2 linked regions of the Saccharomyces cerevisiae S288C genome follow. Each later gene encodes a partner of the first gene's protein in a complex. Each region holds a gene or a part of one and is shown in the gene's direction. Other genes may lie near its edges.

Evidence for each region. Proteins that work in one complex are often made in the same cells at the same time.
Region 2: the proteins of MFT1 (region 1) and THP2 are in contact, whole or in part, in a cryo-EM structure (PDB 7V2W), measured with the Saccharomyces cerevisiae proteins. Residues at the interface, in NP_013649.1 of Saccharomyces cerevisiae: His16 (codon at 3,208), Tyr17 (codon at 3,211), Ser18 (codon at 3,214), Glu19 (codon at 3,217), Asp21 (codon at 3,223), Phe24 (codon at 3,232), Asn25 (codon at 3,235), Tyr27 (codon at 3,241), Leu28 (codon at 3,244), Ile30 (codon at 3,250), Leu31 (codon at 3,253), Val34 (codon at 3,262), Thr35 (codon at 3,265), Leu37 (codon at 3,271), Thr38 (codon at 3,274), Gly39 (codon at 3,277), Ile41 (codon at 3,283), Ile42 (codon at 3,286), Leu56 (codon at 3,328), Thr57 (codon at 3,331), Glu58 (codon at 3,334), Ile61 (codon at 3,343), Leu64 (codon at 3,352), Lys65 (codon at 3,355), Ala68 (codon at 3,364), His69 (codon at 3,367), Phe72 (codon at 3,376), Leu75 (codon at 3,385), Gln76 (codon at 3,388), Ile79 (codon at 3,397); in NP_012037.1 of Saccharomyces cerevisiae: Tyr9 (codon at 1,756), Phe10 (codon at 1,759), Leu13 (codon at 1,768), Cys14 (codon at 1,771), Glu16 (codon at 1,777), Glu17 (codon at 1,780), Leu20 (codon at 1,789), Gln21 (codon at 1,792), Ser23 (codon at 1,798), Gln24 (codon at 1,801), Leu27 (codon at 1,810), Leu28 (codon at 1,813), Ile30 (codon at 1,819), Leu31 (codon at 1,822), Leu34 (codon at 1,831), Ser35 (codon at 1,834), Leu37 (codon at 1,840), Ala38 (codon at 1,843), Asp39 (codon at 1,846), Leu54 (codon at 1,891), Pro55 (codon at 1,894), His58 (codon at 1,903), Leu61 (codon at 1,912), Ser65 (codon at 1,924), Leu68 (codon at 1,933), Arg69 (codon at 1,936), Lys72 (codon at 1,945), Arg76 (codon at 1,957), Glu77 (codon at 1,960), Leu80 (codon at 1,969).

Annotation. Positions count from the first base shown.
Region 1 is NC_001145.3:146,110-151,845, reverse strand, and holds MFT1 (Mft1p), read left to right. Parts: upstream 1-3,162; coding exon 3,163-4,341; downstream 4,342-5,736. Other genes in the region: DNA helicase PIF1, read left to right, coding at 314-2,893; 40S ribosomal protein eS1 RPS1B, read right to left, coding at 4,597-5,364. UniProt on the Saccharomyces cerevisiae protein: Component the THO subcomplex of the TREX complex, which operates in coupling transcription elongation to mRNA export. The THO complex is recruited to transcribed genes and moves along the gene with the elongating polymerase during transcription.
Region 2 is NC_001140.6:437,611-440,627, forward strand, and holds THP2 (Thp2p), read left to right. Parts: upstream 1-1,731; coding exon 1,732-2,517; downstream 2,518-3,017. Other genes in the region: anaphase promoting complex subunit CDC23, read right to left, coding at 1-1,440; putative GTPase MTG2, read left to right, coding at 2,767-3,017. UniProt on the Saccharomyces cerevisiae protein: Component the THO subcomplex of the TREX complex, which operates in coupling transcription elongation to mRNA export. The THO complex is recruited to transcribed genes and moves along the gene with the elongating polymerase during transcription.

The DNA of each region.
Region 1 (5,736 bases):
ATGAATCAGGACGCTTCAAATGCCTTCTTCCGCTGGAAATAGTAGTTTTGTGATGCTGTTCAGCTCATCTCTTAAAAATTTTTGGCGTTACATTAAGAAAGGCGCGTCTTAATTTTCTTCACTTAATGTATAAACAAATACTTTACTTTTTAACCACGACATTATTCAAAGAGGAGAGTAACTTTAACGTTAATCAAATTGCTGTACTAAACTATTTATTTGGCCAGACATTGAAATACTGGTATTGCCTCGATATTTTTATTTGTAATATTATCCATTGAGCGATTAGCTTACTTGTATCAATCAATTTTACATGCCAAAGTGGATAAGATCAACATTGAATCATATTATACCAAGAAGGCCATTTATCTGTAGTTTCAACAGTTTTCTTTTACTCAAAAACGTATCGCACGCCAAACTATCGTTTTCTATGAGTAGTCGTGGTTTCAGGTCTAATAACTTTATTCAAGCACAATTGAAGCATCCTTCCATACTTTCAAAAGAAGACCTAGATTTGCTCTCTGATTCGGATGATTGGGAAGAACCTGATTGCATACAGTTAGAAACTGAGAAGCAAGAAAAGAAAATTATCACTGACATACATAAAGAAGACCCGGTGGACAAAAAGCCTATGAGGGATAAAAATGTCATGAATTTTATCAATAAAGACAGTCCTTTATCCTGGAACGATATGTTTAAACCCAGTATAATACAACCACCGCAGTTAATTTCTGAAAACTCATTTGACCAGAGCAGTCAAAAAAAATCGAGATCGACAGGATTCAAGAATCCATTAAGACCAGCGTTGAAAAAGGAAAGTTCTTTTGATGAACTTCAAAATAATTCTATATCTCAAGAGAGAAGTTTGGAAATGATAAATGAAAACGAAAAGAAGAAAATGCAATTTGGAGAAAAGATTGCTGTTTTGACGCAAAGACCTAGCTTCACTGAATTGCAGAATGACCAAGATGACAGTAACTTGAATCCCCATAATGGTGTGAAAGTCAAGATACCGATTTGCTTAAGCAAAGAACAAGAAAGTATCATCAAGTTGGCAGAAAATGGCCACAACATTTTTTATACAGGGAGTGCCGGTACCGGTAAATCCATTCTTTTACGTGAAATGATAAAAGTTTTAAAAGGCATATATGGTAGGGAGAATGTTGCAGTCACTGCTTCCACGGGTTTAGCTGCTTGTAATATCGGTGGTATAACCATACACTCGTTCGCTGGTATAGGATTAGGAAAAGGTGATGCGGATAAACTCTATAAAAAAGTTCGTAGGTCTCGAAAGCACCTAAGGCGCTGGGAAAATATTGGTGCTTTGGTTGTCGATGAAATATCAATGTTAGACGCAGAACTGCTTGATAAACTCGATTTCATAGCTAGAAAAATACGGAAAAATCATCAACCCTTCGGTGGAATTCAACTCATCTTCTGTGGCGATTTTTTCCAGTTACCGCCAGTATCAAAAGATCCTAATAGACCAACTAAGTTTGCTTTCGAATCCAAGGCTTGGAAAGAAGGTGTAAAGATGACGATTATGCTACAAAAGGTTTTTAGACAGCGAGGCGATGTTAAGTTCATTGACATGTTGAATCGGATGAGACTAGGCAATATTGATGATGAAACAGAAAGAGAGTTCAAGAAGCTTTCTAGACCATTGCCAGACGATGAAATTATTCCCGCGGAACTTTATAGTACCAGAATGGAAGTAGAAAGGGCCAATAATTCAAGGCTAAGTAAATTGCCAGGCCAGGTGCATATTTTTAATGCAATCGATGGCGGTGCTTTGGAAGACGAAGAGTTAAAGGAAAGGCTGTTACAAAATTTTTTAGCTCCAAAGGAATTACATTTGAAAGTTGGCGCTCAGGTTATGATGGTAAAAAATCTAGACGCAACATTAGTTAATGGATCCCTTGGTAAAGTCATCGAATTCATGGATCCAGAAACATATTTTTGCTATGAGGCGCTAACAAACGATCCATCTATGCCTCCAGAAAAACTCGAGACTTGGGCAGAAAACCCTTCAAAACTAAAAGCTGCAATGGAGAGGGAGCAAAGTGATGGGGAAGAAAGTGCGGTAGCTAGTCGCAAATCTTCAGTGAAGGAGGGATTTGCTAAGAGTGATATAGGTGAGCCGGTCTCTCCCCTAGATTCCTCAGTTTTTGACTTCATGAAGAGAGTCAAGACAGATGACGAAGTTGTGCTGGAAAATATAAAACGCAAGGAACAACTGATGCAGACCATACATCAAAACTCTGCAGGAAAACGAAGGTTACCTCTCGTGAGATTCAAAGCTTCTGATATGAGTACGAGGATGGTGCTTGTCGAGCCGGAGGATTGGGCGATAGAAGACGAAAATGAAAAGCCACTGGTATCAAGGGTTCAATTACCGCTAATGCTTGCCTGGTCACTATCCATTCACAAATCTCAGGGTCAGACACTTCCAAAAGTTAAAGTGGATTTACGTAGAGTATTCGAAAAGGGTCAGGCGTACGTTGCCCTTTCTAGAGCTGTTTCAAGAGAAGGACTACAGGTGTTAAATTTTGACAGAACTAGGATCAAAGCACATCAAAAGGTAATTGATTTTTATCTTACTTTATCTTCAGCCGAAAGTGCCTATAAGCAACTTGAGGCAGATGAGCAAGTGAAAAAAAGGAAGTTAGACTACGCACCAGGCCCTAAATATAAGGCTAAATCCAAGTCAAAGTCAAATTCTCCAGCACCCATATCAGCGACCACACAATCTAATAATGGTATCGCAGCGATGTTGCAAAGACACAGTAGGAAGAGATTTCAGTTGAAAAAAGAGTCTAATAGTAATCAAGTTCATTCATTGGTTTCCGACGAACCTCGTGGTCAGGATACCGAAGACCACATCTTAGAATAAGTACATATTAATACACATAGTTATATAGAATACAAACTGCTATAATAATCAAGGCCGAGATACATAGTTCCGCGGTTTTATCTGTATTTATTTTGATATTGGTTCTTTGACACCTTTTTATCTTTCTTTCTTGCGCTTTGTTCATTCTATTATTTTGGTGAACCTCCTTCGATAGAAAAAAGTGAAACATTATCTAAATTAAAGTAAAATACAACAACTGGCTGTAAAAAAGGAATCAAAGAACTAAAGCCAAAGGAGACTAACTCACAATGCCTCTGTCACAAAAACAAATAGACCAAGTTAGAACCAAAGTGCACTACAGTGAAGTAGATACTCCATTCAATAAATATTTAGACATCTTAGGAAAAGTAACCAAGCTGACAGGAAGCATTATAAATGGCACATTATCCAATGATGATAGCAAGATTGAAAAACTTACTGAGCAAAATATCTCCCAACTAAAAGAAAGTGCTCATCTTCGATTTTTGGATCTGCAGTCATCAATTGACACAAAGAAAGTAGCAGACGAAAATTGGGAAACATGCCAACAGGAGACATTGGCCAAGCTGGAAAATCTCAAAGATAAATTGCCTGATATAAAGAGCATCCATAGCAAGTTGCTTTTACGTATTGGAAAACTACAAGGTCTTTACGATTCTGTCCAAGTAATTAACAGAGAGGTGGAAGGCTTGTCAGAAGGCCGTACCAGCCTTGTGGTGACACGTGCGGAATGGGAGAAAGAACTTGGCACTGATCTGGTCAAGTTTTTAATTGAAAAGAATTATCTCAAACTAGTTGATCCGGGCCTGAAAAAGGATAGTTCAGAGGAGAGATATCGTATTTATGACGATTTCTCTAAGGGCCCAAAAGAGTTAGAAAGTATCAACGCCTCAATGAAATCGGATATAGAAAACGTAAGGCAGGAGGTATCGTCTTACAAAGAGAAGTGGCTAAGAGATGCAGAAATATTTGGCAAGATCACATCAATATTCAAAGAAGAACTTCTGAAGAGAGATGGCCTGCTCAATGAGGCAGAAGGAGATAACATTGATGAAGATTATGAATCGGATGAAGATGAGGAAAGAAAAGAGAGGTTTAAAAGGCAGAGATCAATGGTGGAAGTGAATACTATAGAAAATGTGGACGAAAAAGAGGAAAGCGATCATGAATATGACGATCAGGAGGATGAAGAAAATGAAGAGGAAGATGATATGGAAGTAGACGTTGAGGATATAAAAGAGGATAATGAAGTTGATGGGGAAAGCAGTCAACAAGAAGATAATAGTCGCCAGGGTAATAATGAGGAAACAGACAAAGAAACTGGAGTGATAGAAGAGCCAGATGCGGTTAATGACGCAGAGGAGGCAGATAGCGATCACTCAAGCAGGAAACTTGGAGGCACTACAAGCGATTTTAGTGCGTCTTCCTCTGTTGAAGAAGTAAAATGACCACGTATAATGCATAGCTCTTACTAAATAGAAAAGGCATATAGACACATAGGCAAGTTATTACAGTTCAATAGAAACCGAAATCGGTAACGTAAAAAATAACAACCATAAAAAGACAGTATTGGACAAAAGAGCAAGTTCTGTATGGTGCGTCACCTTCTTTTTTTTAGTAATAATTAATTATATTAATAATAAAGAGAAAACATATTAATAAATTGTGTACATGTCAAATCTTATAATTTATATTTATTTTGTTTACACAGTTTCCAAGACTTCATCCTTGAAACCAGAAACCTTCTTACCCTTTTCTTCACCGGAACCTTCACCATGCAAAGCCATCAAAGCACCAACGTCGAACTTTGGTTGTTTCAATAACTTAACCTTTCTAACGTGGATGTTTTGTAGTGGGAAGATGTCCTTGGTAGCATTTTCGATTTCCTTGTTGATAACTTCTGGAATCAATTTGGAGGTCAATTGAGCCAAAGTAGAGTTTTGAACTTCTCTGGTCAAGATTTCAGAAATAACTTTTCTGATAGCTCTGATGTGGGAAGATTGAGCGTAAGAGTGTCTCTTAACTTGGTTAGCTTGCTTTCTGGTGAAGGCAATAGCAAAGATTCTCAAAACGTAATCATCGGAAGTCTTAACGGTAACATTAGCTTCGATCAAAGTTTGCCATTTTCTGACCATTGATCTCAATTTGTCGGTAGTGAAGTCCATACCGTGGAAGTTGGTCAACAAGTTCTTACCTTGAACTTCATCGACTCTCAACTTGACCTTTCTGAAAGAATGGTCTTCAGAACCTTGCAAGTCAGCCAAACAAACTTCGACAACTCTACCCTTCAAAGCATCGGAAGCATTCTTCAAACCAGTGGACTTGTTAACTAAAGTCTTACCAACATTTCTGTTTTCAAAAGTGGATGGGGCTTTAATATCGAACCATTCCTTTCTGGTAAATGGGTCAACGACCTTCTTCTTCAAACCCTTCTTACCTCTGGATAGTCTCTTATTCTTACCAACAGCCATGATTAGTCTAGATCGGTTTTTTGCTTGGTTTCCTCAAAGGCGAATACAACTAACTAAGTTCAAATCTGCTACCACTCACATATATCAAAATACCACTACTAACTATACATTGGAACTCACTAATGAGGACACTGGTATTGTGAAACTGTGTTACGTTCAGCGTGGCAATCATCACTCCGGCCTGGAGAGTCCAGCCGGCCGAGGCGGCTTCACACCGGCACCACCTTGATTCCACACTGGATCTACCGCGTCCTTCCCATTTACTCAGTAGCACTTCTACCGGACATCCATGCTGCTCTTTTTTTTTCAGTGGAGCTCCTGCAGGAATAATTCTTAGTAAAATTCATAAAAATATAGTGTACTGGTGCTATG
Region 2 (3,017 bases), on another chromosome or scaffold:
CATGTCCAGGAGAGCATAAGCCTGGCCCAAACCAAACCATGCTTTGAAGTCTCGAGGGCATATATCTACGGCCCGACGATAGCATTCTATTGCGGCATGTGAATTGCTTAGTTCAACAAATTCGTGACCCATCAAAGTCCATGCGTTTGTTGTTTTTTTATCCAAAGTTAGTGCTCGACGGAAATACATGATAGATTTTTCATGTTCCTGTCGGGCACTGTAATAGTTCGCTATGATACAACATGTTTCCGGTCTAAATCTATCTATTTGGGAGACGAATTGCGCCAAATAGGCTAATTTTGAATTCTTCTGCATGACGTATAGAATATTGGAGTAGGTTTCCAAATCGTTGAGACGGTACGGATCTTGTTTAACGATGTCATCAAATCGGCTTTCTGCGGTAACATAATCCAAATTGTTGTAACTAATAGTAGCATTGTAAGCCTTTAAAAAAGTGAAATTGGGGAAAACTTGTAACAAAAACTCTAAATCTTCAAAGTAGTCCTCTAACTGGCCATTAAGCTCCTCAAACACTTTTAGCTTGAAAAATTTGATCATTATATTAAATTCTATCGTTCGTTGACTACCAAGATTTTCAGAAAATTTGAATTGGAAATTTTGATATAGATAATTATTTAAAAGCAATGCATCGTCAACCTTTTGTAAACAGTCCATTAACTCCAGCCAGCAGGACCAGTTAAAGGAGTAGCAACTCAGAGATTTCAAGAATGACGACATTGCCTTAGAAATATTCTTCTCTTGCTTTAAGATGACCCCTCGTAAATAATACAACAGTGCTAACCCTAAATCGGCCTCATCATCGTCTATCTTTATTTCATAAGACTCCAGAAATGTGTTAATTTCCTTCAAAATAGATGATATGTTCGATTGTGACTCATGCTCATTGCTGACCATTTTTAAATTGGCGCGTTGGTGCCCACTTTGATTTATATCCTCATTCCCACTACCATCCCCATCTTTGTTAGCTCTGTACATTTCGTCCGTAAACTTCCCTGTAGTTAAGATATTTTCCATACTTTCCTGGCTTTTCTTATCCCACGATAGAAATTTACTGTATAATTTTAAGAACTTAAGGTATGGATTAGTGACATCTTTTAGAAAAAAAACGCATCGATCAAACTCTTTAGCATCAAACAACGTAGAACCAAGGAGGTACAGGTCATACTCAGTCTCTGATAGGCCAAACCCGTTTTGTGGTATTTCAAACATCTGTTTCGGTACACCTTGTTTATTTCTTAGTGGCGATTCATCGGCTAAAGAGTGTGTTTGATCAACATCAATAGCTTCTGCAAGACCTGCTAGCGCCTCTGCTGCCCACTTTGAGGAGCCGTATAGCTTCCATCGTGATAATTCTGTGGCAGCCTTTCGTAGCTGAATACGTATATCATGTATTATTTTATCCTGGCTGTCGTCATTCATGGTTCTAAATGCTTCACAATCTGATTCTGATCAGTATATATCCAGATTTCAGTTTTCCGCTCGCTAATACTCCCTTCTTCCTCTTAATTTGATGTGAGTACCGCAGTACTTGGTCTGCTATTATGAAGTGTTTGTTTTACCCGAAGTGCTTTTTATGTACGCGCATTGAAAAATAATAGAAACTTGGTAAGTAGAATACTTAAGAAGCTGCAGAAGTGCAGTATCTTACAGTAAGAAACAACAGCGACTAGTTTATCAGGTTTACACTGCTCAAGTTATCAAGTTCATAGCATGACAAAGGAAGAAGGTCGTACGTATTTTGAATCTCTCTGCGAGGAGGAACAAAGTTTGCAGGAAAGCCAAACCCACTTATTAAATATTTTAGATATATTATCAGTATTGGCAGACCCTAGATCATCTGATGATCTGCTTACTGAATCCCTCAAGAAGTTGCCTGATTTACACAGGGAGCTGATAAATAGTTCCATCCGCCTGCGATACGATAAATATCAAACAAGAGAAGCACAGCTTTTGGAGGATACAAAAACTGGAAGGGACGTTGCAGCGGGAGTACAGAATCCTAAGAGTATTAGCGAGTACTATTCTACTTTCGAACATTTGAATAGGGATACTTTAAGGTACATAAATTTACTGAAGCGACTTTCTGTTGATTTAGCAAAGCAGGTGGAAGTGTCTGATCCATCAGTGACAGTGTATGAAATGGATAAATGGGTTCCATCTGAGAAACTTCAGGGTATTCTCGAGCAGTACTGTGCGCCTGATACTGATATACGTGGTGTAGACGCTCAAATCAAGAACTATCTAGATCAGATCAAAATGGCACGTGCCAAATTTGGTTTAGAGAATAAGTATTCCTTAAAGGAAAGACTCTCTACTTTGACAAAGGAACTAAACCATTGGCGAAAAGAATGGGACGATATAGAAATGCTTATGTTCGGTGATGATGCACATTCTATGAAAAAAATGATCCAGAAGATAGATTCATTAAAGTCTGAAATAAATGCTCCATCGGAAAGCTATCCTGTAGATAAAGAAGGTGACATAGTTTTAGAATAAGCACATTTTATTTAACCAGCCTGCACAAGTTAGATAGAGTTATACATACTTGTTGAGTGGGAGGGAAGAAAGAGAAAAATTGTATTATTTTTTAAAGAGCTTTTTAATATTTTATTTGTTCTATCTATTATTTTCACTTCCCCGAAATAGTACTGAAGGAAAAAACATGCTGGTTTATTTAGCGTTTAATAGGATGTGTACGTACTGAGAATATCATCAAGAATCAGTCCTCGGCCAGAGCATCTAGATATGTCGATAGCTTGGTCTAGCGTTTTCAAAAGAGAATTACGGCTTGAAAGATTTTTACCAAGAGTATATTCGACGAAAGTTCCTGATAATGCACCAAGAGCGGCTGACAATGAACAATGGCTAGAAACCCTAAGACCTATAACTCACCCAGAACAGAAAAAGTCCGACCATGATGTCAGTTACACAAGACACATTAATGTTCCTCTGGGCGAAGTCACTTCTGTCAACTATCTACAACGGTATAATAAGCA